Linked DNA regions of Oryctolagus cuniculus. The protein of the gene in region 4 interacts with the protein of the main gene of each other region in a pairwise test. Links are inferred from orthologs where the notes say so. Each region holds a gene or a part of one and is shown on either strand. Other genes may lie near its edges. The genes, in order: CCDC198, SAP30BP, SPMAP2, FHL3, CNNM3, RFX3 and FOSL2.

Region 1 (3,500 bases), on a different chromosome or scaffold from region 4:
AATGGCCTCAACTCTTCAGTTAAAAGACACAGACTGGCTGAATGGAAAAAAAATCTATTTGCTATTTACAAAAAACACATCTCACCAACAAACATATAAGCAGACTGAAAGTGAAAGGATGGAAAAAGGCATTCCACACTAACAGAAACCAAAAATGAGTAGGTATAGCCATCTTAATATCAGACAAAATAGACTTTAACACAAAAACTGTTGAAAGAGACAAAGACGGGCTCTATACAATGATTAAGGGATCAATTCAACAGGAAGATGTGACTATAATGAATGTATATGCACCTAATTGCAGGGCACCTGACTATTTAAAACAAAAGCTAATGGATCTAAAGAGAGACATAGACTCTCATACAATAGTGATGGGGGACTTCAATATCTACTTTCAGCAATGGACAGATCAACCAGACAGAAAATCAACAAGGAAACAGCAGAGTTAATTGACACTATAGACCAAATGGACCCAACTGATATCTATAGAACTTTTCATCCTACAGTTGCAGAAAACATTCTTCTCACCAGTGTATGGAACTTTCACTAGGATAGACCACACCAGGCCATAAAGCAAGTCTCAGCAAATTAAGAAAAATCAAAATCATACCATTCATCTTCTCTGATCGCAATGGAATGAAGTTGGAAATCAACAACTCAACAATCTCTAGAACATATGCAAACACATGGAGACTGAACAACAGGCTCCTGAATGAACAGTGGGTCATAGAAGAAATAAAAAAAAAGTTCCTCAACAGTTGAGAATGCTTTTTTTCATACTATTTGTTGAACTCTTTACTTAGTATAGAATTAATCTATGTATAAAGGTAATTGAAAGTAGATCTTAGTAAAAAATAAGAATGGGAATTGGAGAGGGAAAAGGAAGAAGGGTGAGAGTGGGGGTGGGAGGGTGGGTACGGTGGGATGAATAACCATCACTATGTTCCTAAAGGTGTTTTTATGAAATGCGTGAAGTTTATATACCTTAAGTAAAAGGTTTCTGGGGGAAATAAAAGAGCGTGATGTGGTAACAAGTCTCACAGGTGGACCCTAGTGGAGCAACTTTGGCCTTTACACCATTGTGTAGGCTCCTACACTGACTGCAGTCTTGCCTGAGCTTCAGAATATGGTGCACGTGATTCAGAGCCAGTCTCATGACCAACCTTTAAGAAGACTGTTTTTGCTTTCTTTTCTTGGGACATCTGCTTTTGGGATCCCTAGACTGATAGGAAAGAAAATTTACTACTCTGCTGCAGAGCATATGTGACAAGGCTTTGAGATTATATGGAGAGGGGATATGGTCTAGCTGTCTTAGAGTCCTAGTTGAGCCTTCAGATGACTCCAGTCTTAGCTGACATTGTATTTCAATGACTTGAAAAATTTCATGAGGTTAGCAGAAGAACCACTTAGCAGAGCCCAGCAACCCACAGAAAAGTGACACATTAAAATGGCTCTTGTTTAAGTCTCTAAGTTTTGAGGCAGTTAGTTACACAGCAACAGATAATGACATATATAACAAACCTGCTAGCCATAAGACTCTAAATGATGTAATATCTTTTTACAAAAGAGAATTGCTTTCCTCACAATAATTCATATATTAACTTGAAGAGTTTGACAGAAAGGTAATATTTTAATGCATTCAGTATTTAGTGAATGACATTCTTATTCTTGATCAAAAAACTCATCAAAAAGTGGAATTCTCTCCGTCCTTGTCCTCACTAATGCTTGTGGTTTCTTCTCATCTGTCCCCATCTCATCTGAGTCACAGCTAGAACTATCCCAGAAAAGCTGTCCCCGGGCCTCTTGTTCACGAATCCATTTTTCCATTTTGCCAATTTTCCGGGTACGATAGTCATTTCTTGCTTGATGCTTCAAAAATTCTGCATTTTCTATGTTTCCTACAAAAAGTTTAAAGTTCATTTAATTTACTTTTCCTTAACAATGATTTATTTGTTATTACATGTTTAGACTTCATGAACATAAAACAATCTGCTTATATACTAATACATAGGTATTATTCATATACACTATATATACTTATATATACTTTATGTATTTATATTTATAGATACAGTTGTAATTTGTGACTCTGTAAGCCTTAAAAAATTTTAGCTGTTATTTATAATTTTTTTGAATCTTCTGAAAGTCACAAGAATGGTCCAATACATATCTTTATAATCACAACCCATTGACAATGTTTTGATACAGTATCACTTTCACCATATATCTATGTCTATCTATCATCATCTCTATGTATCTCTATCATCTCTATTACCCCTATATCATCAGCTGTTCATATCCAATGTTTTGCTACAGTATCACTTTTATCATATATCTCTGTCTATTTCTATCTCTGTTATCATCTCTATGTATCTCCATCTTCATCTCCATATCTCTTTCTCTCTATATCATCTCTATCATCCCTATATCATCAGCTGTCCATATCTGTGGGCTCTACTTCCATGGATTCAACCAGCTATAGATTGAAAATATTTTTTAAAAAGATTACCTCTGTTCTAAAAATTTACAGACTTTCTTTTCTTGTCATTATTCTCTAAATAATAAAGTATAACAACTATTTTAATAACATTTACATTGTATAGGGTATTATAAATAACCTAGGGAAGATATAAAATATGCAGGATGGTATACATAGGTTATATGCCAATACTACATTTGTTTTTTTTTCCCTCAAAGAAATCTTTTATTTAATGAGTATAAATTTCATAAGTACAACTTTAGGAATATAGTAATTCTTCCCACCATATCCGCCCTCCCACCCCACCACTCATCCCTCTCACATTCCCAGTCCCATTCTCCATTAAGATTCATTTTCAATTAACTTTATATACAGAAGACCAACTCTAGAGTAAGTAAAGATTTCAACAATTTGCACGTGCACACACACACACACAAGTTTTACGGTTAATTCTCATAATACAATTCGTTGAGGACAGAAGTCTTGCATGGAAAGTTAGTGCAGAGTGACATCTGTTGTTAATTTAACAATTAACACTCTTATGTATGATGTCAGTGATCACCTGAGGCTCTTGACATGAGCATCCAAGGCTATGGAAGCCTTTTGAGTCCACAATCTCCATCAGTATTTAGACAGGGCCATAAGCAAAGTGGGAGTTTCTCTTCCCTTCAGAGAAAAGTACATCCTTCTTTAATGGCTCCTTCTTTCCACTGTGGTCTCACAGAGATCCTTCATGTAGGACTTTTTTTTTTTTTTGCCACAATGTCTTGGCTTTTCATGCCTAAAATGCTCTCATGGGCTTTTCAGCCAGACCAGAATGCCTTAAGGGCTGATTCTGAGGTCAGAGTGCCATTTAAAGCAGTTGTCATTCTATGAGTCCGCTGACTACACTGTTTCATATAATAGACTTGAGCATCCTGATTTGGTATCTGTGAGAGATATGGAACCAATTTCCCATAGATACCAAGGGAAGGAGTTATATGCTTTTTAGATGAGCATTTGAATTAGTTGTGGAGTCATT
Region 2 (3,500 bases), on a different chromosome or scaffold from region 4:
AAAAAAAAAAAAAAAAAAAAATAGACCTGCGGCTCAAGGGCCTGCAGCCTCTTCAATTCTTCCCAGTTCTGCCTAACGGGCCCTCAAGACACCACTGTGCCTGGTATCCTGCCCACGCCTGCCCGGCCCCTGCACTTTTCCAAGCTCAGCGTGAACACCACTTCCTCCGCGAGCCCTCCAACCCCTGCAGCAGGTCAGGCATCCCTGCTTGTCCCAGCTCCCCATCGTAAGCCTCGTCAGTGCGGGGATTACTGGCTCAGCCATCTGTCTCCTTCGCTGTATGACAGCCTTGTGAGTCAGGGATGGGGGCCCGTCTCATGAGACTGTGAAGGTGCTGCAGCCCCTTGGAGGCCCTCTGACATAGAGGAGACTCAGGAATGCGTGTGGCCTGGGTGACTGCCTGGCTGGACAGATAGGCAGGTGGGTAGATGGAAGGCAGGTTACCTAATGCCTCATAGTAGGAGTCCTCAGACCAGCCATGGGGGTCGAACATATCCTGAGAAAGAAAAGGTCAAAGCCACGATCAACTGGCAGTGTCAGGTGACAAGCCCCTTTCCCTTGAGTCTTTCCATAGACCTTCCTGGCCTGGAGCGCCTTCCTGTCACAGCACGAGGGTTCAACTGCGACCCCGGGCCTCCAGCTCCGGGGTAGATGCACCGCTCAGCACCCCCCAGCTGATCTGCAGGAGCAGTGAGCCCACACCTGGGCCCTACATATTCAGAGCTTCGCGGCCAGATCTGTAACTGGTGTCTCTCACTGGACTGCTTCAGAAAAGGAACACGAGCGAGATGGAGCCTCTTCCATCCAACCAGAACTGCTGTGCCACTGACCTTCCTGTGCAACTCCAGTGGAGCCGGCCCAGGGTCCAGGGAACCCCCCCACCCTCAGCCTGAGCACTGGACCCACCTTTGGGTAGTTGGTGCCGAGCTCGTCTATGGCACAGAACTGAATCAGCTTCTCATAGATGCTGCAAGGAGAACAAAACAGGCACTGAGCAGGCACTCGTCCCATGTCCCTGCCGACTCCCTGGGCGGAGTGGAAACCTCTCTGACCTCTAGACCCTGTTCAGCTGTTCCAACTTCCCAGCGGGAGGCCTGGCCCTGCCACTTCCGGCCTGCACCTGCCTGTGAAGTGGAGCTGCTGGCTGGGGGCTGGGATGAGCACAGGGTCAGGTGAAACGGCTCCGTCTTATCTGGGCGTCTCCGACCCTCAGTATGCAAGGCTAGGTCAGGCCTGCCACTCAGGCCCACGCAAGATCCACGCTGCCACTCACGTGCTCAATCCAGGTGTCACTTGTTCAAGGGCTGCAGAGTGAGAGCCACATACAGCTAGCTCTGTCCCGGACCCTCTCATCTGCGTGCAAAGCCAACTTTCCAGAGTTGGGAGAAGAACCCAGAGACTGGTCATCGGGCCCAACTTCCTCATCCTGGACTAGAGGACACTGGGACTTGTGAGGTCATGTGTGGCAGGAACGGAGCAGGCCAAGAAGCCATCCTGCCGCCCCCACTCCAGCCCAGCACCCTGGGCTCTCAGCTCACACACTGGTTTCTGGGTGGAGGCTGGACCTGACACAGTAGCCCCCGGCGGGGCTGGGACGGCCTGCTGGGTCTGAGTCTGGGGGAGTCTGAGCTCAGGTGAGACCTCAGCTGAGTCTATCCGCACTACCTCCCTGGGGCTGGCCCCGGCTCTCCTCCAACAGCAATGACCCAGCCCCACGAGCTCAGGGGAAACTGACCTAGGGTTCCGGAATTCTTTCTTCCGTTGGATAATGTAGTTCATATCCATTCCCTCTTTTATCTTTCGCTCATACAGCTTCTGGATCTTGTCCTGTGGAAGAGGAGCAGAAGAGCATGTGACAGAAGCCCACCTACTCCCAGTCCCAGTCTTCAGTCTCGAGTGCTGTGAGGAGCACATTCCTTCTCCACCCAGCCTCTGCCTGGACAGAGCTGACCCAAGTCAGAAGAGCCCAGGCCAGTCTGTCTGCGGCGTCTCCCTTCGGATGAGTAACAGAGGGTGAGTAAAGACTGAGGCAGGGAGGCCACGGAGGAGATGACAACCGGATCGCCAGCCGCTTCATCAGCTCCTGCATCGCCTGAACAGTCCGAGGCGCCAGAGCGGACGTGCAGGGACACAGGCTGGTTCTCAGCACGAGGGGAAGCCCCCGAGCTGTGAGTCACAGGCTCCTGGGAGGGACTCCGTCCTTCTGGGTGCAGGCAGCAGGAGAGTTTTTCAGGTTGGCTCACAAATGGCTGGTTCCAGCCAGTTTATCGAGGGTTACCCCTCATCTTCGAGACTCCTCCTCCAGGAGCAAGGCCTGGACTTTCAAGGGTAAGGAGAATCACACCCGGCCCGGATCCAGGCCCACCTCTGGCCAGTGACCCGAGTGTCCCTAGGAAGGTGCTGCCCAGCTGAGACGATGCCTGTGCTGCTTAGGGCCAGTGAAGAGGCCCAACCCTGAGGAAACAGTGCTGCTATCTAGGAAGGCGGGCGTTGCACTATCTGCAGGGGCTGGTGCTGGGGCGTAGCAGGTAAAGATGCCGCCTGCTGCCGGCACTCCATATGGGAGCCAGTTCAAGTCCCGGCTGCTCCACTTCCAATCCAGCTTTCTGCTATGGCTTGGGAAAGCAATGGAGGATGGCCCAAGTCCTTGGGCCCCTGAATGGTGTGGGAGTCCTGGAAAGAGGCTCCTGGCTCCTGATTGGCCCTGCTCTGGCCATTTTGTCCAATTGGGGAGTGAACCAGTGGATGGAGGACCTCTCTCTCTCCCTCTCCTCTCTCTGTGTAACTCTTTCAAATAAAGAAATAAATTATTTTTTAAAGATTTATTTTTATTTGAAAGACAGAGTTACAGAGAGAGGTAGAAACAAAGAGGTCTTCCATCCAATGGTTCACTCTTCAAATGGCTGCAACAGCTGGAGCTGAGCCAATCTGAAGTCAGCAGCCAGGAGCTTCTTTTGGGTCTCCCACGCAGGTGCAGGGGCCCAAGGATTTGGGCAATCTTCTACTGCTTTCCCAGACCACAGCAAAGAGCTGGATTGGAAGAGGAGCAGCCAGGACTAGAACTGGCACCTATATGGATGCCAGCGCTTCAGGCCAGGGCTTTAACCCACTGTGCCACAGCGCTGGCCCCAATAAATAAATCTTTTTTTTTTTTTTTTTTTTTTTTTTTTTTTTTTTTTTTGACAGAGTGGATAGTGAGAGAGAGAGAGACAGAGAGAAAGGTCTTCCTTTGCCATTGGTTCACCCTCCAATGGCCGCTGCGGCCGGCGCACCGCACTGATCCGATGGCAGGAGGCAGGTACTTCTCCTGGTCTCCCATGGGGTGCAGGGCCCAAGCACTTGGGCCATCCTCCCAGGCACTCCCGGGCCACAGCAGAGAGCTGGACTGGAAGAGGGGCAACCGGGACAGAATCCGGAGCCCCGACCGGGACTAGAACCTGGTGTGCTGGCGCCGCAAGGCAGAGGATTAGCTTTGTGAGCCGCGGCACCGGCCCCAATAA
Region 3 (4,291 bases), on a different chromosome or scaffold from region 4:
GGGACTTGAGTTATGGTTGGGATTAGGGTTAGGGATCTAGGATTTGAAGTTAGGTTAGGGTTAAGGTTAGAGAACAGAGTTAGGAATTTAGGGTTAGGGTTGGGTTCAGGATTTAGGGTTAGGGTTTTGTTAAATTTCAGGGTTTAGGGCTATGGGTTTTGGGCTAGGGAGATGGCCAGAAGATTATTATAGTTTTAGAGTTATAGTTAGGGTTAGTGGTTTAGAGACAGGACTTTCAGTTTAGGGTTAGGGTTATGGTTAAAGATTTAGGGTCAATGCTAAGTCTTAAGGTTAGGGTTAGAGGTTAGGATTAGGGTAAGGGGTTACGGATTTATTGTTAGGGTTAGAGTTTAGGGTTAGGGTTAGGGGTTAGGGCTAGGATTTAGGGTTAGGGTTAGGGCTAGGATTTAGGGTTAGGGTTAGGGTTAGGGCTAGGATTTAGGGTTAGGGTTAGGATTTAGGGTTAGGGTTAGGGGTTAGGGTTTGGGTTAGGGTTAGGATTTAGGGTTAGGGTTAGGGTTAGGATTTAGGGTTAGGGTTAGGATTTAGGGTTAGGGTTAAAGATTTAGGGTCAATACTAAGTCTTAAAGTTAGGGTTAGAGGTTAGGATTAGGGTAAGGGGTTATGGATTTATTGTTAGGGTTAGGGTTAGGATTTAAGGTTAGGGTTAGGGTTAGGGCTAGGATTTAAGGTTAGGGTAGGGTTAGGGTTAGGGCTAGGATTTAGGGTTAGGGTTAGGGCTAGGATTTAGGGTTAGGGTTAGGATTTAGGGTTAGGGTTAGGGTTAGGGTTAGGGTTAGGGGTCAGGGCTAGGGTTAGGGTTAGGGCTAGGATTTAGGGTTAGGGTTAGGGTTAGGGTTCTGATTCGAGTTTATTTAGAATTCCAGTGACAGCCATGACATTGGAGATCCTGGGCAGCTGGGAGAGTGCCTTGGACACGGTGGGTGACACGTCCTGAGCCTCCTGGGCCTGCACCAGTGCCGAGTCGGAGGGAGGTGAGCCAGGGGCGACAGCGCCAGCAGAGCCCCAGCTTCTCGAGGGAGTGGCCAGGTCCTCTCTGCCTGAAGCCAGGTCCGGGGCTAGCGTGTGGGTGAGGGAGCCCCCACCTGGAAGCCCCTCCCTCCCTGGCCGGGCGCCGCGGCCACGTGAGCTGCAGGTGGGGAGCAGGCGAGGGACTTACCAATAGAGACAGAAGTGCAAGGTGGTCTTGCATGGGGTGATCCACGCATAGCCCCTACAGCGGCCTCTCATCCTGCGACGAGACAGGGCCAACGCCCTGCTGCCGTCCGCCGCCACCGCCCTGAGGACCCCAGGGGCCACCGTCCCCACCAGGCCCCACCGCTGGGATCCTGATTCTGTTCCCTGGCGGCCCCTCCCCCACCCCCACCCCACCCCCGTGGGAGCTCGGGGTCGCCACCTTTCCGAGGACCTGGACCTGCCCCACCCAGTGAGGCCCAGGCCTGGCCGGCCCTCACCTGTCTCTCAGGACCTGCCAGTTGGTCTTGGGTTCTGCCAGCTCCAGGAGCCGGCGCCGCTGCCGCCTCCCTCTGGCCATGGAGCAGCGGGGCAGTGTGCGGGTGATGGACAGCCGACTGCGGGAGAGTCGGTGTTGGGGCTGGCACCGCCTGGCCCTTGCCCGCCCCGCCCACCTGCTGTCCTCTCAGGCTTCCCTGGTGGGGATGGGCCAGGGCCTGAAGCACCACCCCCCACCCCCACAGCTTCCTAAGGCCCTGCTCCCCCCTTTATGAGAGGAATGGGGGTGCTGTGGCACAGGGGGTTAGGCTGGCGCCCCACGTGAGCGCAGGTGCAAGTCCCAGCCGCTCCACTGTCCACTGAGCTCCTTGCTCATGGCCTGGGGCAGCAGCAGGGGACAACCCAAGCGCTTGGACCTCTGCACCCACGTGGGAGCCCCGGATGAGGCGTCTGGCTTCCGACAAGCCCAGTTCTGGCCTTGCAGCCATCTAGGGAGTGAACCAGAGGAGGGAAGATCTCTCTCTCTCTCTCTCTCTCCTCTGACTTTCAAATAAGTAAATAGAGAGAGAGGCCGGCCCCAGCTCCCAGGACCATCGCAGGGCTCACAGCCACTCCACTCTCAAGCATTTTCCAGCACCTGTGGTGCAGGACAGCGGGGCCACAGGAGCAGGGCCTTGGCTGCCCCTGCCCTCAGCCCCACTTCGCCCCCCCCGCCCCCACCAGGGCCCCTTGGGCTCTCTGGGAGGGAGGGGCGTGGCTTCACCCTAGGTGGAACAGCCCTGCCCCACCAGCCAGCAGGTGTCAGCCAGGGGAGCCCTGAGGGGGACAGGAGGCGCTGGGGGGGCGCGGTGCACGTGGCCGGAAGTCGCCCCCCAAGTGCTCAGGCCCGCGCCCTAACCCGGCCATCTGCGTGTGCTTTTCTCTTCCACTCCGAAAGCGGGGGCCGCCGCGCCCCCCGCTGACCCCCGACCCCCCCCCGAACACCTCATCTCCGCAATGTCCTCTGCATCTTTGTCCGGAGCCCCCTCCGACTCGGAAAGCGCGTCCTCCTGGTTCGCGGGCCCGGGGGGCTCGTCCCCGGCCACCTCCTCAGCAGGGACCTCCTCGTCCTCTTGGTCTTCCAGCCCCAGGTCCGCATCCTCGGGGTCCCGGTATTTGGGGTCCTTGAACCGCAGGCTGCTGTACACGGGGCCCCGGAGGCCGAGGGCCTCGTCCTGGCCGCCCCCGGGCCCGCCCCCCGCCTCCGAGAAGCGGCGGTCCTCCATGGGCCGGGTCCCCTCCGCACACCTGCGTCCTAGCTCTGGCAACACCCAAATGGATCTGCGGTCACCAGGGCGACAGGAGAAGGCGCCGCCCACATTCTAACCACGGGCCGGGCGGGGTGGGGGAGGGGCTCAGCGCGGGCGGCGCCCCCACCCTGCAGGTGCTGGACCCGGGTCCTTCCTGGAGGTCACACCTGCCTTCCCGGGATGCTGGCCAGAGACTGGAGCAGGGTCAGCAGGGGCTTCTGGGAGGCATCCCGGCCTCCCTCCCTCTCTCTCCTCTTCCCTCTCCCTCTCCCTCTCCCTCTCCCTCTCCCTCTCCTTCCCTCTCCCTCTCCCTCTCCCTCCCCTCCCTCTCCCCCTCTTCTCCCTCTCTCCTCTCCTCCCTCCCTCTCTCTCCTCTCTCCCTCCCTCTCCCTCTCTCCCTTTCTCTCTCCCTCTCTTTCTTCCTCTCTCTCCCTCTCCCCCCTCCCTTTCTCTCCCTCTCTCCCTCCCTCTCTCCCCCCTCTCTCTCCCTCTCTCCCTCTCTCTCTCCCTCTCTCTCTTCCCCTCTCTCCCTCTCTCTTTCCCTCCTTCCTTCTCCCTCTCCCTCTCTCTCTCCCTCTCTCCCTCTCTCTCCCTCCCTCTCTCCCTCCCTCTCCCTCTCTCCCCCTCTCCCCCCTCTCCCTCCCTCCCTCTCTCCCCCCCTCCCTCCCTCTCTCCCCCTCTCTCCCTCTCCCTCTCTCCCTCTCCCTTCCTCTCTCACCCTCTTCCCCCTCCCTCCCTCTCTCTCTCCCCTCTCTCTCTCTCTCCCTCTCTCTCCCTCTCCCTCCCTCTCCCTCTCTCCCTCTATCTCTCTCCCTCTCCCTCCCTCTCTCACCCTCTTCCCCCTCCCTCCCTCTCTCTCTCCCTCTCTCTCTCTCTTTCCCTCTCTCTTCCTCTCCCTCCCTCTCTCCCTCCCTCTCCCTCTCTCCCTCTCTCCCTCTATCTCTCTCCCTCTCCCTCCCTCTCTCACCCTCTCCCCCCTCCCTCCCTCCCTCTCTCCCTCTCTCCCTCTCTCTCCCTCCCTCTCCCTCTCTCCCTCTCTCCCTCTATCTCTCTCCCTCTCCCTCCCTCTCTCACCCTCTCCCCCTCCCTCCCTCCCTCTCCCTCTCTCCCTCTCTCCCTCCCTCTCCTCCCTCTCTCTCTCCCTCTCTCTCCCTCTCTCTCTCCCTCCCTCTCTCCCTCTCTCTCTCCCTCCCTCTCTCCCTCCCTCTCTCTCTCCCTCTCTCTCTCTCTCTCTCTCCCAGGGGGCAGGGGGTCCGTGAGGGGGCCTGGTGCCTTCAGGAAGGCAGCAAACAAGTGGAAGCGGCTTCCCTCGGCCGCGCGCAGGGAAGGCAGGCAGCGAACAGGGCTGTGGGTCTCACACTTCCAAAGGCTCTGTGCAGTCTTCCCACAGGCCAGGCCCAGCAGGGACCGTGCCGCCTTCAGGTCAGCTGCTGCCCCGGCTTCTCCCGGGGGCCATCCCAGGCCATCCCAGGCCACAGAAGGGGGACCCAGTGGGCTCAGCTGACTGGTGCACCCTCCTGGCTCTGCAG
Region 4 (3,819 bases):
GCGGGGCCGTGACCCATTCATGCTGGGAATCGGATCCAGATGTTCCCGCGGCGCGTGCAGCTGCATCCTTGCCTTTTTTGGCAAAAAAACGTGCGGCCGCGAGCAGATCCCGGGCCGCCCCCGCTAATCTTCGGGAAGAAGGGGAAGGGGGTTGAGGGTCTGGGCCCAGACTGGGGCTCAGGACCGAGTGCAGGCTCCGCGGGATTTGGGCAGGGCAGTTAGGAGAGAGGCCGGCTTGTACCGGGGGAGGGCGCCCCGCCGCCAGCCCCGCTCCTGCCTGGAACCTCCCCGTCGCCGCCCTTCCCCACGGGAGAGAAGCAGCCTTCGGCCAGCAGGAGGGGAGGCAGGGCGAGCTTGCCGGAACGGTAGCTTCGGCAGGGATCCCGTTCCGGGGGGCAGACTCCTACCCTGTGGCACTCGTAGCCCTGGGCCTCTGCCCGGGGACACGGAAAGTCTAGAAGAGCCGCAAAGGGTCCCAGGCAAACACACAGACGCCTGGCTTCCTCACACTGCTTTATTGCAGAATCTGGAAGAGGGCCGGGCTAATCCCACTCCCTCTGCCCATCTCTGGGCAAAATGCAGCTGAAATAAAACGAGAAGACACTCGACAGACACAGCCTGGGCAGCACCTGTACCCCAGAGCCCCTTAACTGGGGGAGCCTCCCCAGGTGCAGCCCAGACAGCCCCCTCCCCGCAGCCCAGGGGACCGGGGTGGGATGGGCCAGGGCTCAAGCCTGAGTACAGTCCATTTGGAGGACTTCCCAGGCTCCTGCAAGACACCTAAAATCTCTGGAGAGTAGTCCAGATTTAAGGGGGCTCTAGGTCCCCAGAGTTCAGGTTTGAAGGGCTGGGGTCTACAGGCCTGATGTGGGGAGTGGGCTTGCTCTGAGAACCCCGACTATGGAGGAGAGGGCTGGGTCCTGGAGTCCAGGTCTGGATTGGGGAGTACCAGTTAGAGGTCGCTGGGGGCAGGGGGAGCCCCATTTGGGGGAAGGGCTGGGTCCCAGAGGGGGTTGCGAAGAGGGGCCGTAGTCCTGGAGCCCTGGTTCTGAAGGCTCAGGGCCCTGCCTGGCTGCAGCCCTGACACAGCACTTGGTCTCCATCCGGCACGAAGCCCTGGCCCACCAGGGACGTGGAGCACCGGGCGCAGGAGAAGCAGCTGTGGTGCCAGTGGCGGTCCTCGAAGGACACATACTTGCCCCCACCGAGTCCTGCAGGGATGCCGGTGTCAGTCCTGCCCCTCAGCCTCCCCCAGCACCACACCCACCCCGCCCTCTGGCTCCTGTCCCACCTGTGATGGGGCGCTTGCAGCTGCTGCACTTAGGTGCAAAGAGTTCTCCAAAACAGGCCACACAGTAGGGGTCATCATCCCGGGAGGTGAACTGCTGCCCTGCCAGGGGCGTCTGGCACCCGGTGCACACCAGGCACTCGCGATGCCAGGGCTGGTCGCGGTACGTCACTCCACCCTGGGTCAGCGTCTGGAGGGGGCAGTGGCCATGGGCAGGGTGAGGCTGAGTGGCCTGCCCACCCCACGACCAGTGTTGCCCAGCCCCACTCCCTGGCCCAGCCCCCACCTTGCTGCAGCGGGCACAGCGAGGAGCAAACTTGTTCTCATAGCAGGGCACGCAGTAGTGAGCACCCTTGTCGGGCACGAAGGAGCGGGAGCCCAGCGGCTGCTCACAGCCGCTGCACAGGAAGCAGTGTTCATGCCACGTCTGGCCTCCGTACTCCAGCTTCCGGGACCCTGTGGGGAACAGCAGTCCTGCTCAGAGGCTGAGCCCCATGCTCCTGAGGGCCACCCGCCCCCGTGCCTCCCCCAGGAGATGCCCACTGCTCCCACTGCTCGCACAGGGTGGCATCCATGCACATGCAGCAGGACCCCCCACACACTGCAAATGGGAACCTCCCCAAATGCTGGACCCCACGGCTCAGCACATGCTAGGCCCCTAAAGTGGACATGAGGGTTTAGTGTATGATTTAGCTCCCATGTGTCCCAGGTGCGACTTCCTCAGCACACAACAAGACTCCATCTGGGGCCGGCGCTGTGGCGTAGCGGGTAAAGCCGCCGCCTGCAGTTATTGGCATCCCATTTGGGCGCTGGTTTGAGTCCCAGATGCTCCACTTCCAATCCAGCTCTCTGCTATGGCCTGTGAAAGCAGTAGAAGATGGCCCAAGCCCTTGGGCCCCTACACCCATGTGAGAGGACCCAAGAAAGCTCCTGGTTCCTAGCTTCGGATCAGCGCAGCTCCAGCCCTTGCAGCCAATTGGGGAGTGAACCAGCGGATGGAAGACCTCTCTCTCTCTCTCTCTCTCTCTCTGTGTAGCTCTGACTTTCAAATACATAAAATAAATCTTAAAAAAAAAAAAAAAAAGGCGTGATGTCTCTGTAAGCTGAGCTATGGTGGTTTCAGCATCCTCATGAGACCCTACACATGCAAGGCAAGCAAGTCTGCCCACACCAGTTCTAAAGCCCTGGGTGTGATAGGTTCCATACATGCTAAGTCCTCTGTCTCCTGGGCACATCACTCTCCACATGTGCCAAGTCCCCAGGTACCTATCAGGTATGCATTCCCACACATACTACACCCTCTGCGTGCACCAGACCCCAGTGCACCCAGCATGAAAGTCTCAGCACACCCTTAGCTCCTGCATGTACCGGACATGCAAGTCTTCATCCGTGCTGTTCCACCACGGGTGTAGAGGCCACCTGGCCCGGCGCACAGTCCCATCCTCAGCACCGTACCAGGCTTGCTTGTCTTGGCCTCAGCATACCGATGCCCATGCATGCTGAGGTCCCAAGAGCGTGTAAGCACAACAGGTGGTGCGCACACTGAATTTCCACCCCATGCTGCACGTGCAGGCCTTCACACACGCCTGGCCTCTGGGGATGCCCCAGCACAGGCACAGGCCCTCCACGAACGCCAGTTCTGCCACGGGCGGAGTCGCCGGGGACGTACCAGGCATGACGGTCTCCCCACAGGCGGAGCACTGCGAGGAAAAGGCACTGCAGTAGCAGTCGTTACAGAGCAGCTCGCTGTCCTGGCACGTGAAGGGCTCGTCGGCGAGCGAGCGCTGGCAGCGGCCACAGCGGAAGCAGCCCTCGTGGAAGTGGCGGTCTTCATAGAACAGCTCCTGCGAGGGGCGGGGCAGGCAGGGGGTGCTGGCACTGCGGCCCTCTGCCCCCTCCCGCCACCCTCTGCCTGCTCCCTGCCCTGCCCTGCTCGGGTCCTTACCCTTGAGTCATGCCCAATAAGCTGCTGGCACTCAGCACAGGTGTTGGCGAAGGTGTTGTCATAGCAGGGCACGCAGTAGGGGCCGCTGTCTGTCTGGATGTACTTGCGGCCATACAGGGACTCGCTGCACTTGGCACAGTCGAATGCCTCGCTCATGGTGGTGACAAGAGTCAGCCCTGCCGGGAGCACATGCAGACCCGCAGTCACCCGGAGGGGCTGTGGCTTAGCCCCTGGCAAGCATTCTTTGCATTCACAAAAGAGCAAGAGACCAGGCATAGGAAATGCCAGGTTGCAGCAGGTGGGGATGGGGCAGGGGGGGGCTTCTGGAAACCGTGGAGGCTTGCAGGTTTATTTCTGTAGTGAACAGTTGGGGTAGGAAGGGGTCAGGAAAAAACCAGGAAGCAGAAGTTGTTTTCTTATCGAGGCTGGAGCAGATCTTGGGGGAGGGGGCTTTTCCTGGGTCAGTGACTCATTTCCTGCCCCAGCCTGAGCTTAACCGCCACTGTCCCTACTGTCCCCGGGGTGGCAGGAGCAGGGGCAAGGGCAGGCGCCACCCCACCCTTCCCCATATATGAACAGCATTCCT
Region 5 (4,129 bases), on a different chromosome or scaffold from region 4:
GTGAGCCGAGCATTTAAGACACCTTGAAATGTGACAGCTTAGGCCATCAAAGGGACAGCTGTGGCCTCTATACAAGTTCCCTACGCAGAAGGGATAAAGCCTGCACTTGCAGTGTGACCTCTGCTACTGGTTCCCCAGGAGTAGGCGAACCTACCCATCTGCAGAGCTCCCAGCCGTGAGCAATCATCACCCTCCTAGCAACGAACACCCAGGCCCCGGCGCCCCGCATCTCCTCTCCCCGATCCTCTCATTACCCCTCCTATCGCTAACCACTGAGGACCCTGAGCCGGGAGAGGCAGGCAGCCTTCCCTGGGCCCAGGAGCACAGTGCAGGCCAGGCAGGATGGAACGCACTTGGCTGACTCCAGGGCCACACTGCTGACCACCACGCCTCGAGAGAGCCCACTGTTTGGGATCTAGACAGAGTACTTGCCACCAGCACGCTGTGTCTGGGCCCCACACAAAAGCCCTCCCCAGAGTAGGGCTGCATGGCCACGTTGAAGGGAAGGAGCCAGGGCCCCCAGAGAGTCCACCAGACCAGACACAGCTGTGGGTCCAAGAATTAAAAGACATGTGGAGTGCAACGCACCTACCAGGGTTTGGCCCGAGGCTGTGCCCAGTGCAGGAGGACCATGGTCACTCCTGCCAGGGCTGTCGGAGGGCTCTGCTCACGTGCTAACAGCCCGTCCACAGCACGGGGTGCCCCCACCCCGATCCTGCGGGAGTTCAGGTGAGAGAAGCACATAGCACCCCCAAGGCTGACAATGCAGACGGCTGCAGAGGGACCCACATTTCACACGCTGAGGGCCTGTTTTACCTTCAACCTTGGAGTCACTCAGAAAAGCCAGGGTTGAAAGGAGGGGTGAAAAGGAGCTAGAGGAGAAGCTGAGAGACCCTGAGGGGAGGTTTAAAAAAAAGGGGAAGTCAGGGGAAGGAGAGATTAAATCAGCATCCACGAAGCTGCTTCTGATGAAATCAAAGAGAAAGTTCTCTCCATACCTGTAGGAAAGGAGGAGTACTGATGAGTCATGCCCTTGTCACTCAGAAAAACAGCCATCAGCCAGGGACCCCACCAACGCCCTGGGGACACCACAGGGGCAGCTAGGCCCGGATCTGGAAGCCACCTTCTCCGTGTCCTTTTAGTTTCTATCCAAGAGTTTCAATCTGCTACATCCGACCCCAGGCACAACAGAAATGGCCTGGGAGCCGGGAAGACCCGGGAGGTTTAGAATCAGTGAGAGGTATGTCCCCAACACGGGGGCCACCGTGGAGAGAGAGAGAGAGAGAGAGAGAGAGAGAGAAAGAGAGGTGTTTGCGTTCCATGGCACTCTGTCCCCTCTGAAGGGCGGGGTCCTTAAACACTTTAAAAGGTCATTCCCATCTGCAACGCGACCACCCTCTTAAAACCGGCCCTTAGAGGGCCCCCTGCCCTCTCCAGGAGTGGGGCCTTTTCCCCGACGGCCCCATGAGCCCCCTCTCCTTCCCCAGGGCCAAGCTCGGGCACGGACATCCCCTCTGCGGTGCCCCAGCCGTTACCTCGCTTGAACTCCTCCAGGACGGCGTCCAGCTTGGTGTCGTTGAAGACGAAGTGCAGCGGGTGGTTGTAGAAGCGCGTAATGGTGCTCAGAGGCGTGCAGTCTTCCGGGTCCACGAAGGCCAAGTCCTTGAGGTAGAGCATGTCCACGATGTTGGAGCGCTCCTCCTCGTACACGGGGATGCGCGTGTGGCCGCTCTGCATGATGCTGGCCAGGACGCCGAAGTCCAGCACGGCGCTGGCGTCCAGCATGAAGCAGTCCTCGAGCGGCGTGAGCACGTCCTCCACCGTCCGGTAGCGCAGCACGCCCTTGCTGAGGTCGCTGTAGGGGTCGCCACCGCCGCGTGCCAGCTCCAGAACGCGCTCGCGCAGCCGCCCGGGGCGCGCCGCCAACTCCAGCAGTTGCCCCACGGGCAGCGCCACCGGTAAGGTGAGCAGCACCGCCAGGCGGCTGAGGCCGAGCGCGCGCGGCGCCAGCGCCAGCGCCCAGCGCCCGCTCACGGCGGCCGGCACCACCTCGCCCACTAGGAACACCAGCCCCGCGCAGCCCAGCACGGCGGGCACGGCGCGCTGGCCGGCTGCGCGGTACAGCAGCACCGCCAGCGCCGCCTGCGCCAGGCTGGCCAGCAGCAGCAGCGCGCCCAGGGCGCAGCCGGCCCAGCGCCGCGCGGGCTCCAGTCGCCGCGCCGCCGCACGCTCCGCCTCCGAGCCGCTCTCGCGAAGCACCTGCACCTCGGCCGGCGCCAGCGCCAGCGCACTCAGCTGCAGGCCCCGCGCCAGCGCCGCCAGCGCCAGCAGCCCGGCCGCCCCCAAGCCCAGCGCCCAGGGTGGCGCCGCCTCCTCAGCCGCCCCGCCGCCCGGCTCCACGCGCACAGCTAGCAGCGCCGAGTGCGGGCGCACGGTCTCGGAGCGCAGGCACAGCAGCGCGCGCCACTCGTCCGTGGGGGCCGCCCCCGCCTCCTCCTCGGGCGCCGCGGTCGACCCACTCTCGGGGCAGCCCGACCCCTTCGGGGCCACCCAGGTCCAAGAGCTATTGGCGAACCCGGAGCCGAAGAGGCGCAGGCGGAAGGTGGCCTCCGGCGCGGCCCGCACCGCTCCTCCGTCCTCCTCCAGACAGAAGCCCAACACTCGCAGACCTGGCGTCGCCTCCCCCGCGGCGTTGCCCAGGCAGAGCGCGGCGAACAACCAGCCCAGCCGACCCGCCGCCGCCGCCGCCGCCGCCATCGCCTGCTGCCCCCTCTCGGCCTCTCGCGCAGCCTACCCCGCTCGTCCCGCGGCCTCCGCCTCCCGCGGCCCAATCATGACCGGCCTTCGCGCCCCCTCGGCCAATAGACGGCGGGCGGGGGCGGGCCCTAGGGTCGGACTAGGCTGCGCCGGGGAGTAAACAAGCGGCGGCGCGGGGCGGGCCGGGGGCGTGGGGTTCTCCGCCCCAGCGAGCCCCGCCGCCGCTCCGAAGGCACTGGGTGGCCGGCTCTCGGAGGACGCGGAGCCGCGAGCTGGGGCGTGGCGGGGCGGGCAGGGCCTCCGACCCGTCCCGAGGCCTCGCGGGAGCCGCGGGCCCTTGCTCGGGACTGGAGCACTGAGCGGGAGCGGGTGCTCGCCTGAGCCGCGGGTCCCGGCGTACCTGAAGTTGCTGACGGAGATGGAAGCGAGTGGGAGCGTGCTGTTTTCCTAGGAACGGGCCCTGGGAGCCAGAACCAGCGGCTGGGGTTGTGCCGAGGTTTAACTGCGGCTGTAGGCCCCGGGACGCCAACACAGGCCCTGTCTTCAAGGAACTCGCTTTCCCGCCGGGGAGACGTGTGGTGGAAACGTGCACACGAGATCCCAGCCTCACTGGATCCTCACAGCTACTCGGTGTAACTAGTGTCTGACAGGAGAAAGGCGAAGTCCAGGAAGACTCCGCGGGCGTGTTGGGTTCCGAGGCGTCGGGACGCCCCGGCCACCACCGCCACCGCCGTAGCCGCGATGTCAGGAATCCCTGCCCGGCTCCTGGCAGTCCGTCAGTCCGAGGCCGAGAAACTCGCACGGCCTTTCTAGTCTAACTGCATTCAGGCTGGCCCCTGCAGCTGAGCTGTATTATTTCTTCTCTACACTTTTGCGGTGTTTTTTTTTTTTGTTTGTTTGTTTGTTTTTTTTTTTTTTTTTTTTTTTTTTAAGGCGGATAGCCCCGTGCCAACTTGCTCTGTCATGAAAACGACAGTTTATAAGTTTAGGGGAAGATGTTTAGCATGGCAGTTAAGAAGCCCCTTGGGACACCACATTCCATATAGGCATCTGGACTTGAGTCCCAGCTCCACTCCCGATCCCAGTTTCCTGATCATCTGCACCCTGGGAGGCAGCAAGATGGCTCCAGGATTTGGGTCCTGGCCACCCACATGGGTCGATCCAGATTGAGTTTCCAGGTCTGGCCTCCTCCTGGCCCAGCCCTGGCTGTTGGCAGCATTTAGGGAGTGGACCAGCGGATGGCAGATTCTTTCTCTGTCTCTGCCAGTCATATAACTTAAAAAAAATTGTTTAAAAAATTAAAAAGTACGCAGAGTGGCCACAATCAAGTGAAACATATCTGTGTGGAAAGTAATGTGCAAAAATGAGTCTG
Region 6 (4,281 bases), on a different chromosome or scaffold from region 4:
AAAATACAACAGCATTCAGAAATAAAAGTTTTGTTAATATACAAATCTTGAGTAGTTTAAAACTTTGCCTTAAAAAAAAAAAACACGTTTGGAAAATAATTAACTCTAAAAGTAGATTCTACTAACAACAAAAGCAAACGATGCCACCTGCTTTTGGACAGCCCTTTTGTGAACCACTGGAAGTCCCAACACAAAGCAATAAAAAAATGAAAGTGACACCTGTTTAAAGCAGCCATCTGTCCCTAACAAGCTAGATTTTAGTCAAATCCACTTACTCCTAGATTTCCAAAAATGGGAACACTATGCACCTGTGAACAGAAAGAAATTTGAAGTCTATTTTGTGATTGCCACTAGGAATATAGCAAAGAATTAAAGGAAAACGATTCCACTAGGGAACCTATTTATTTTTAAAGTAACTGAAAGTAAACAGGGGATCTTTACCCAAATACTTAGCAAAAAATAAAAAAATAATAACCAGCAGACTCTTCTTAAAAGTTTACTTCTTTGGAAGCCTCCTTTCTTTTAGCATATCCTCATTATGAATACCAAGAAAAAAGTAACATACCTATTGGACTGTTTAGGAAAGTTGTTTTTTTTTTTTTTTAACTTTTCCTACACATCTGATGCTAAAGCCAACCTTCTAAACACACATATACACACACAAACACACACATTTAAAAGATTTGAAAAGCAAAATCATCATACTCCACATAACTGATATCTTCAGTTGGAAGCTTAAAGGAATGCTCACACAATAGGAATTTTCTCAAAAATACTTTAAAATATTATCCAAAGTAATAAATACAATGCATGAAATTTATCTCAATTTAAAACTCACTCATTTTTAAATGCTATTTTTAACACTTAAAAATATTATCACAATAAATACGTTTAGGGTATAAAAACTGTTTAGGGTTCAATCATCTTCAACTTATAAACTACAAACTTCTAATAAGACTACTTGAACATCAGGAGAATAATACACTATTTTAAACACAGAGCATAACTATCCCATATAAATGAAACATTGTGAAATGATGCAAAACATCTGAGAATGCTTTAGTTTACCATACAAATGTATGATGTCTATACCACTTAGTACAATTCACAGTCAAAACAAGACAAGCATTATGACATACATTGAACCACAGGTACTGAGCTACTCAAAACAAGTTTCAAGGGACTCCTATTTAATGATTTTAGTTCCAAACCATGATCACCCTCACAGATTTCTATTAGTCTAAAATCTGAAAACAGAGAAACCAGTATGTAATACAGTCCCTCCCTGCAAAGAAAAATGATAGAAAAAATACACTAAATGCTAAATATTTATCCTGTGTTTAAATCTGATTATATTTCTGATTATTTAATCAGTTCAGATGAATAATGTCAACTCACTTAATCTAAAGCATCTCTAACAACTGTTATACCATATACATGCTTTAAAAGGATAATTTAAATAAAAGGATTCAATTTAAGTTCTGCTCTCAAATCAACGTATAAACAAAAAAATTATAGAAAACCTTAAAAACACATAATGAGTGAAATGCCTCAAAAAAGTTCTTAAACACTGCAAATAAAAATATTAAGGCAATAATATTATAGCATATAATCTACTCAATTAAAAGCCAATTACGAGAATGGCATATGGTCTGAAACTGTCCCAAGACAGCAAAACTCCTATTAACTTCAGAGAGAGTTTATAGGACCCAGGAGCTTCACCATCCAAAAGTGTTCAGGCATTTGACACTCATCTGAACAGAAAAAAAAAAAAAAAATACAAGTTAGTATGAGAGATTTGCACCAAATCCAGGATCCAGGTTGGGAAGGAAAGAAATAATTATTAAAAAAAAAAAAAAAAAAAAAACCTGTGTGCTGTAAGAAAAATTTTTTTCAGAACCAAATATTTTCATTTAAAACAGCAATCAGAAGGAAACGAATTGAAATGAATTTTTTTAAACCCCCAACTCTGATTTTATAAAATATTAGCCTTAATAGCATTATAATTACCCAATCCGCTCATTGACAATCTCAAGAATAATTAATACTGTCACATTATTCACAGGCTGCTCTGTCAGTTAAATCAATATATGTTTGCTGTCAGAAAAAAAGACTATTTAAATAAGCATTTTTAAAATCTAAATTGGCAACTTCACACGTAATTTTAATGGCACATCATATTTTTTAACAGGCATTCATTATCAAAACTCTTTACTGATAATCTATTAATTAAAAGTTAGGCTGAAGCATGAACAAATTAAGGGGATCTATAAAACTGGGTTAACTCTAACCAAGTACCTTATTACTTGAGGACTGAAAAGTATTCACATCTAAAGAGAAAAACCACTTTTCCAAAGAAAGACTTAAAAAGGAAAAAGTTCTCTTTCCTGAGCAGTTTAAGTTACTGTCCAAAGAAAACCAAAAAGTAAATAAGTACCCACATGCCTAGATCTTAACAACCACAAAGAAAGTGAAATATACACACGTTTCAAGTTGAGAAGCTTCATACATTCTTTATGAACAACTTGACTTCAATTTCAACTCTCAAAGGAAAGCGAACACAGAAGACGAAGAAGGAAAAAAAAAAAAAAAAAGAAAGCCTCTTAAAGTACCCTAACTGTCAGAAATAACGCTGTAAACTGAGTTCTCACAAAGCTGCCTGGCGTCCTCCCCCTGTTCATCACACCCGAGTCTCAGAACCACAATGAAAATTGCGAACACTCTACGCCGGGGAGGGCGGCTCGTCCGAGTGGAAGGGAACCTCGCGGCCACCCTCCCAGCTCCACAGGAAGGATAAAGCACTGTCAATAACTAGGAACCAAGTATCACAGATGCCCTGCATCCGGTTTAAATCGCAAGCGCGCGCGCACACACGCGCACACACACACACGCACACGCACACACACACACACACACACCCCAGAAGAGAGAGACCAGGGAGACAGGGAGAGACTTTTAAAAAAAAAAAAATCTCCTTCGCAGGGCGGCCGGGGGAGCCCGGTCTGGAGGCCCCCAGTTTCCCTGTGTGTACAGGGGAGGGGGGAGACGGGAGAGGGGGAGGGAAGAGTGCGGAATGGATAGCAAGACTGTTTGCAGCACAAAGAAAATACAGTTTTAAAAGAAGAGAGAACACCGTGAGGCTGATGATGATCAAAGCAGAGCAGCCCACGGAGCACCAGGCAAAGAGGGGCCAACACGAAGGGAATAAGCTGTGGGAAAAGTTCACCGACGTACGAGGACAAAAATAACAAAACCCGTCACAAGGCCCCACAAGTGAACCGCAACAACAACAAAACACCACCTCTCGGGTCCCCCCCCTCCCCTGGCACATTGTTGTCCACGTCGGTTGGGAAAGAAGCAGGAAACAAGCAGCTTTGAAAAGGAAGAAAATTAAAGGGGGGAAAAAAGAGAGAGAGAGAAATCCGTCTCTGTTCACCTGACCCTCCTCCTCAGACCAGAGCTAGGGGAACGCTCCAGCATCCGCCTCGGAAAACTGTGGCTCCCTCTCCCGCTCGGCTCGCAGCCCCCCGAGCTCCCGCTCCATCCCTGAAGTGCGGCCGGCGCAGGGCCGGGCGAGCGGCGCCCACACCCCCGACCCCGCCGCGGCGCGCAGGGTCCATTGTAAACAAGCCCGGGGGACGGAGCCCCCGGGCAGCGGCGCCGCGGCGGCAGCCCGGGTGTCAGGAGTGAGACCCCCGCACAGCCACACTCGGCTCGCACACACGGACACACACACGCACGGACACACGCGTTCACACGCCGCCACACGCTCCCACACACATGTAGAGACCGAAGAATATTCACCTTGGCTGTGGATTATTGTGGTGTTGTTGGTGGGTGATGGAGATGGTGGTGGTGGGGAGGAGGAGGAGGAGGAGGAAGAGGAGGAGGAGGAGAGGAGTAGTTGTTGTTGATGGGTAACAGTCGCCAGGACTACGGTGACTATGGCGCTTGATTCACAAGGCAACGGTTGCTATAACTCACAAAAGAGAGAGAGAGGGAGAGAGAGAGAGAGGGAGCGAGAGGGAGAGGGAGACACTCGCACGGGGAGGGGTGGGGGAGGGAAGAGGGGAGGAGGCGGGCCCAGCGGAGTCGCCGGAAGGGGCGGGCTCAGCGCCGTGACTGACGGCCCCCGAAGCCGGGCGGCGCGCAGGGTGGGGGACTGGGGGCCGCTAGGCTGGGATTCCGACGGAGAACCCCGAAGAGGTGCGCTTAGGCTTGGTAGGGGCTGAGGTCACGGAGTCCTCTCAGAGGACTGCCACTACAGACGCTGGCGAAACC
Region 7 (3,500 bases), on a different chromosome or scaffold from region 4:
TGCTGAGGGGCCAAGCGGGCCTGGGGCTGCGGCTGTAGGTGCACCCCAGTGGCGGCCTCCCAGCTCACCTGGTCTTTCCATCCACTGTGCCTGCAGGGGCTCCTCCTCCATGAGGCCTGGGGAGGAGTGGCCCAGCCGCAGTCTGGGGAGGGTCCAGGCCACGCTCATTAAGTCTCCGTGGGTGGCGTCACCCTGAGGAGAAGGGCGGAGGCACGCAGGGACTTGGAGTGCTGTGCCGTGCCTAGGCAGGGACGAGGGTCCAGGGGCAGAGTGGCGAGGCAGTAATTACAGGGGACACCCTGCTCAAGACACAGGGGAGGGGAAGCTGGCTAGGACACCCGGGTGGCTTTGTTGGCACTATTCCTGGCCTGGTAATTAGGCGCTTGGCAAACCCAACCTGTGTCCCGGCTGTCTCTCTCACACCCTGTCTTCCGGCTGTGCCGCTGCTCCGAGGGCCAGGAGGTTGCCAGTGAAGGAAGGGGGCTCCCCCTCGCGAGCCCAGGGAGCCCCACCGCTGGTTTCGGAGATGCCGGCGCGCCTGGGAGCGTCGGGGGACCGAGGGTTCCGTATTGCACTTGACCGTCCCCTTCTGCACAGTCCGCCCCAGCGCAGGAGTCATTTGCTGCCCCATGTCCAGAAACAAGAGTCACTACTCAGACCACCCGGATGAAATGTCGTGGCAAACTCGATTAAAAAAAAAATAAAACCAGGAGGGAGCGAAATTGACACGGAGGTGGGGGAAGGAGGACCCAAAAGGCACTGCGCATGCTTGGCAGGGCGGGAAGCGCAGCGTGGTTTCAAGGGGACAGCTTCAGGCTCCTCGGAAGCCGGTGTCGCCCAGTCCGCAGGCCAGGTTCTCCGAGGCCTTTCAAGAAACAGGATTTGCTTGCAAGACGCAGGACAGGGAGGCCCCGTGGCCTCCCAGAGACTGACCACGTCCCCACCTCCGCCCCGTGCCGCCCCAGCCGGGGTCCCAGCTGTCCAGCAGAGCCGGGCAGCTCCCCAGCAGAGCCCACTCTGGTCCTCGCGGCCCCAGAGGCTTCAAGGTGCTGGTCCCTGGGGAGGCGGTGGTGCTGAGGGCCCCTCTGGAGCTGGCGGGAGAGGCGGCTGGGTTACAGGGCCAGCAGAGTCGGGGAGTTCAAGGAGTCCGAGGACTGGTCCCCGCTACTACTGCTCCTGCGGTGCGCCTTGGAGCAGGACTCGGAGGGCGATGCGGGCGACTCCTGCTCCAGGACGCTGGGGTAGGTGAAGACGAGGTTCGAAGTGCCCGGGGTGATGGCGGGAGTGGAGGTCACCACGATGGGGGTGTGCAGGGGCTCCTCGCCGTAGAAGCCCCCCGCGATGCTGATGGGCTTGATGACCGAGCGCTGGGCCTTGTCCAGCCCCGCCGCAGACGACGAGGGGCTGTCCTCTTCCAGGGGCTCTTGCTTCACCACCACGGCGCCCACCGCGCCGCCCCCACTGCGCATGGGCGGCAGTGCGGTGGCGGGGGGCGAGCGGCGCTCCTCCGGGCTCACCTTGCACACCGGGCCGTGGGCCACCAACATGAACTCCAGCCTCTCTTTCTCCTTCTGCAGCTCGGCGATCTCTTTCTGCAGGCCTGACTTCTCCTCCTCCAACTCCTCTGTCTCCTGGGGGTGGGGGAGGGAGAGAGAGAGGTGAGAGACAGCACCCTAGGGCCCCGGGGGCTGGGGGGGCCACGGAGGGAAACCCAGCCAGCTCACACCTCTGGCCACAGACCCCACTGGTTGTGAGTCACGTGGAGGCTCAGATTCCCTTTAATTCCGCAGGAGCAAAGCCTGCTGGGAGGAGGGGTGAACCTACAGTTGTGGCTGTTGTCACGGCATCAGGCACAGCATTGAGCATTTCAGGGAGTTTCATCCAGTGCTCCCGTAGTCTTTGGAAGTTCGTGTTATCATCAACCCATTTCACAGAGGGGAACACCGAGGCTCAGGGAGGTTTAGTGATCTACCCAAGGTAGCAGGCAGGGCAGCCCAGATCTGAGTCCCAGTGTCTGAGCCCAGGGTCCATGCAGGAAGGAAGCCAGCATTCAGCCCTGCCTGTCTCCTCTACGGCTGCCTCGAGCCCATGCCCGCTCACCAGGGACACACTCAGCGGCATGGGGGAGCGGGCGTCATCCTGCCTACTCCTGTCCCACAGAGCCTAGGCAGTGCCCGGCTTCTGAGAACTGCTCAGCCAGGGCCAGCATCGTGGCCCCGCAGGTTAAGCCACTGCCTGCGATGCCAGCATCCCCCACCAGAGCACTGGTTCAAGTCCCCGGCTGCTCTGCTTCCACTCCGGCTCCCTGTTAATGCGCCTGGGAAAGCAGCAGAAGATGGCCCAAGTGCTTGGGCCCCTGCACTCACGTGGGAGACCCAGATGGGAATTCCAGGCTCCTGGCTTTGGACTAGCGCAGCCCCAGCCACTGTGGCCATTTGGGGAATGAACCAGTGGAAGGACGACCTCAATTTCTTTCAAATAAATAAGCAATTATAAAAGGAGGGGGCTCAGCCAGTGCCTGGGGGAATCTGTACATCCCCTCCTCTATTTTTGCTGTAGCTTCCGACAGGCTTCGAGGGACTGTGAGGATGCCAGAGTCACGGCCAGGACTCCAGCCCCCTTCTTTCACACAAACCAGGGAAGCAGACGCCAGCCAGTGCACGTGGCGGGCGGCGGTGGGAGGGGAGCAGGTGTGTGTCCCCGGCCTCCTGCCCACTTTTTCCCTAGCGTGGATTCCTGCTCACAGATGAGGCGGCGCGGGCAAGAGCTCCGCGAGCCAGAGCACAGCATATTCCGGAGTGAAAAAAAAAGTTTCCATTGGTCTCAAGGGTCTGACAAATGTCATGTGCCGCTGAGAGGCTTCCTGTGGAGGATGTGGCTCAGGGGCCTAGGTGGCTGGGGCAGGGCGTGGAGGGGGGGGGGGCGTGGGGAGGGGAGGGTGTGTGGCTCCCAGGAGGAGGGGAGGGTGCAGGAGAGGGCCCTGGGCAGCGGAGGGGGCAGGACTCATCTGGAGCTGGTGGTCCGAAGAGCCCTCGCGGACACACGGGGCCGGGGGAAGGTCAGGGGCATGGGGAGGGCTTCGCCTGTGCAGAGCGAATCCCGGGGCGGGGGGTGGACACCTGTCCTGGGGACAGAGCACAGAGCTCACAGAGCTCACACAGCACACAGCCAACACCCAGGGGCCAGGCTGCAGGATGGACAGGGAAGTGCCGGCAGTGAGGTCTCCCTGGCCCTATCCTGGCCGGTCACCGGGAGGGAGGACACAGGCTGACTGCCTCTCTCAGCTCCTCCCCAGGTCCAGGCAGTTGGGCAGCAGGGGTGACTCACAAGGGCAGAATGAAGTACCAAGGGCATTGCTCCAGCTTCATTCATGAAAGAGGCGGACATGGGAAAACCCTAAGAAAATACAACTTGGCCGCCACAGGTTCCATCAATGGCGTCCACCCCCACCTAAACCAGAGGGCTTGAGCCAGAGTGTGCCACCCTTGCTGGCAACAGGT

What was found.
Region 1: the proteins of FHL3 (region 4) and CCDC198 interact in binary tests that used the Homo sapiens proteins (3 or more experiments, as listed by UniProt). The two-hybrid records come from large-scale screens. The link is inferred for Oryctolagus cuniculus from reciprocal best matches to the Homo sapiens genes FHL3 and CCDC198.
Region 2: the proteins of FHL3 (region 4) and SAP30BP interact in binary tests that used the Homo sapiens proteins (3 or more experiments, as listed by UniProt). The two-hybrid records come from large-scale screens. The link is inferred for Oryctolagus cuniculus from reciprocal best matches to the Homo sapiens genes FHL3 and SAP30BP.
Region 3: the proteins of FHL3 (region 4) and SPMAP2 interact in binary tests that used the Homo sapiens proteins (3 or more experiments, as listed by UniProt). The two-hybrid records come from large-scale screens. The link is inferred for Oryctolagus cuniculus from reciprocal best matches to the Homo sapiens genes FHL3 and SPMAP2.
Region 5: the proteins of FHL3 (region 4) and CNNM3 interact in binary tests that used the Homo sapiens proteins (3 or more experiments, as listed by UniProt). The two-hybrid records come from large-scale screens. The link is inferred for Oryctolagus cuniculus from reciprocal best matches to the Homo sapiens genes FHL3 and CNNM3.
Region 6: the proteins of FHL3 (region 4) and RFX3 interact in binary tests that used the Homo sapiens proteins (3 or more experiments, as listed by UniProt). The two-hybrid records come from large-scale screens. The link is inferred for Oryctolagus cuniculus from reciprocal best matches to the Homo sapiens genes FHL3 and RFX3.
Region 7: the proteins of FHL3 (region 4) and FOSL2 interact in binary tests that used the Homo sapiens proteins (3 or more experiments, as listed by UniProt). The two-hybrid records come from large-scale screens. The link is inferred for Oryctolagus cuniculus from reciprocal best matches to the Homo sapiens genes FHL3 and FOSL2.

The regions. Positions count from the first base shown.
Region 1 is NC_091443.1:19,327,603-19,331,102, reverse strand, and holds part of CCDC198 (factor associated with metabolism and energy), read right to left. Parts: intron 1,899-3,500; coding exon 1,663-1,898; 3' UTR 1-1,662. UniProt on the Homo sapiens protein: May be involved in tuning the metabolism, energy expenditure, and excretion processes.
Region 2 is NC_091448.1:4,910,115-4,913,614, forward strand, and holds part of SAP30BP (SAP30-binding protein), read right to left. Parts: exon of another isoform or gene 1,828-3,500; coding exon 1,736-1,827; exon of another isoform or gene 1,676-1,735; intron 968-1,675; coding exon 907-967; intron 497-906; coding exon 445-496; intron 1-444. UniProt on the Homo sapiens protein: Plays a role in transcriptional repression by promoting histone deacetylase activity, leading to deacetylation of histone H3.
Region 3 is NC_091447.1:58,263,992-58,268,282, forward strand, and holds the start of SPMAP2 (sperm microtubule associated protein 2), read right to left. Parts: upstream 2,801-4,291; 5' UTR 2,739-2,800; coding exon 2,458-2,738; intron 1,593-2,457; coding exon 1,476-1,592; intron 1,253-1,475; coding exon 1,181-1,252; intron 1-1,180. UniProt on the Homo sapiens protein: May be involved (but not essential) in spermatogenesis.
Region 4 is NC_091438.1:134,807,740-134,811,558, reverse strand, and holds the end of FHL3 (four and a half LIM domains protein 3), read right to left. Parts: intron 3,410-3,819; coding exon 3,234-3,409; intron 3,133-3,233; coding exon 2,958-3,132; intron 1,745-2,957; coding exon 1,575-1,744; intron 1,479-1,574; coding exon 1,292-1,478; intron 1,212-1,291; coding exon 1,057-1,211; 3' UTR 501-1,056; downstream 1-500. UniProt on the Homo sapiens protein: Recruited by SOX15 to FOXK1 promoters where it acts as a transcriptional coactivator of FOXK1.
Region 5 is NC_091433.1:110,906,312-110,910,440, forward strand, and holds the start of CNNM3 (metal transporter CNNM3), read right to left. Parts: upstream 2,801-4,129; 5' UTR 2,758-2,800; coding exon 1,536-2,757; intron 1-1,535. UniProt on the Homo sapiens protein: Probable metal transporter.
Region 6 is NC_091432.1:165,827,287-165,831,567, forward strand, and holds the start of RFX3 (transcription factor RFX3), read right to left. Parts: upstream 2,801-4,281; 5' UTR 2,508-2,800; coding exon 2,486-2,507; intron 1-2,485. UniProt on the Homo sapiens protein: Transcription factor required for ciliogenesis and islet cell differentiation during endocrine pancreas development. Essential for the differentiation of nodal monocilia and left-right asymmetry specification during embryogenesis.
Region 7 is NC_091433.1:174,525,328-174,528,827, forward strand, and holds part of FOSL2 (fos-related antigen 2), read right to left. Parts: intron 1,632-3,500; coding exon 1,113-1,631; 3' UTR 1-1,112.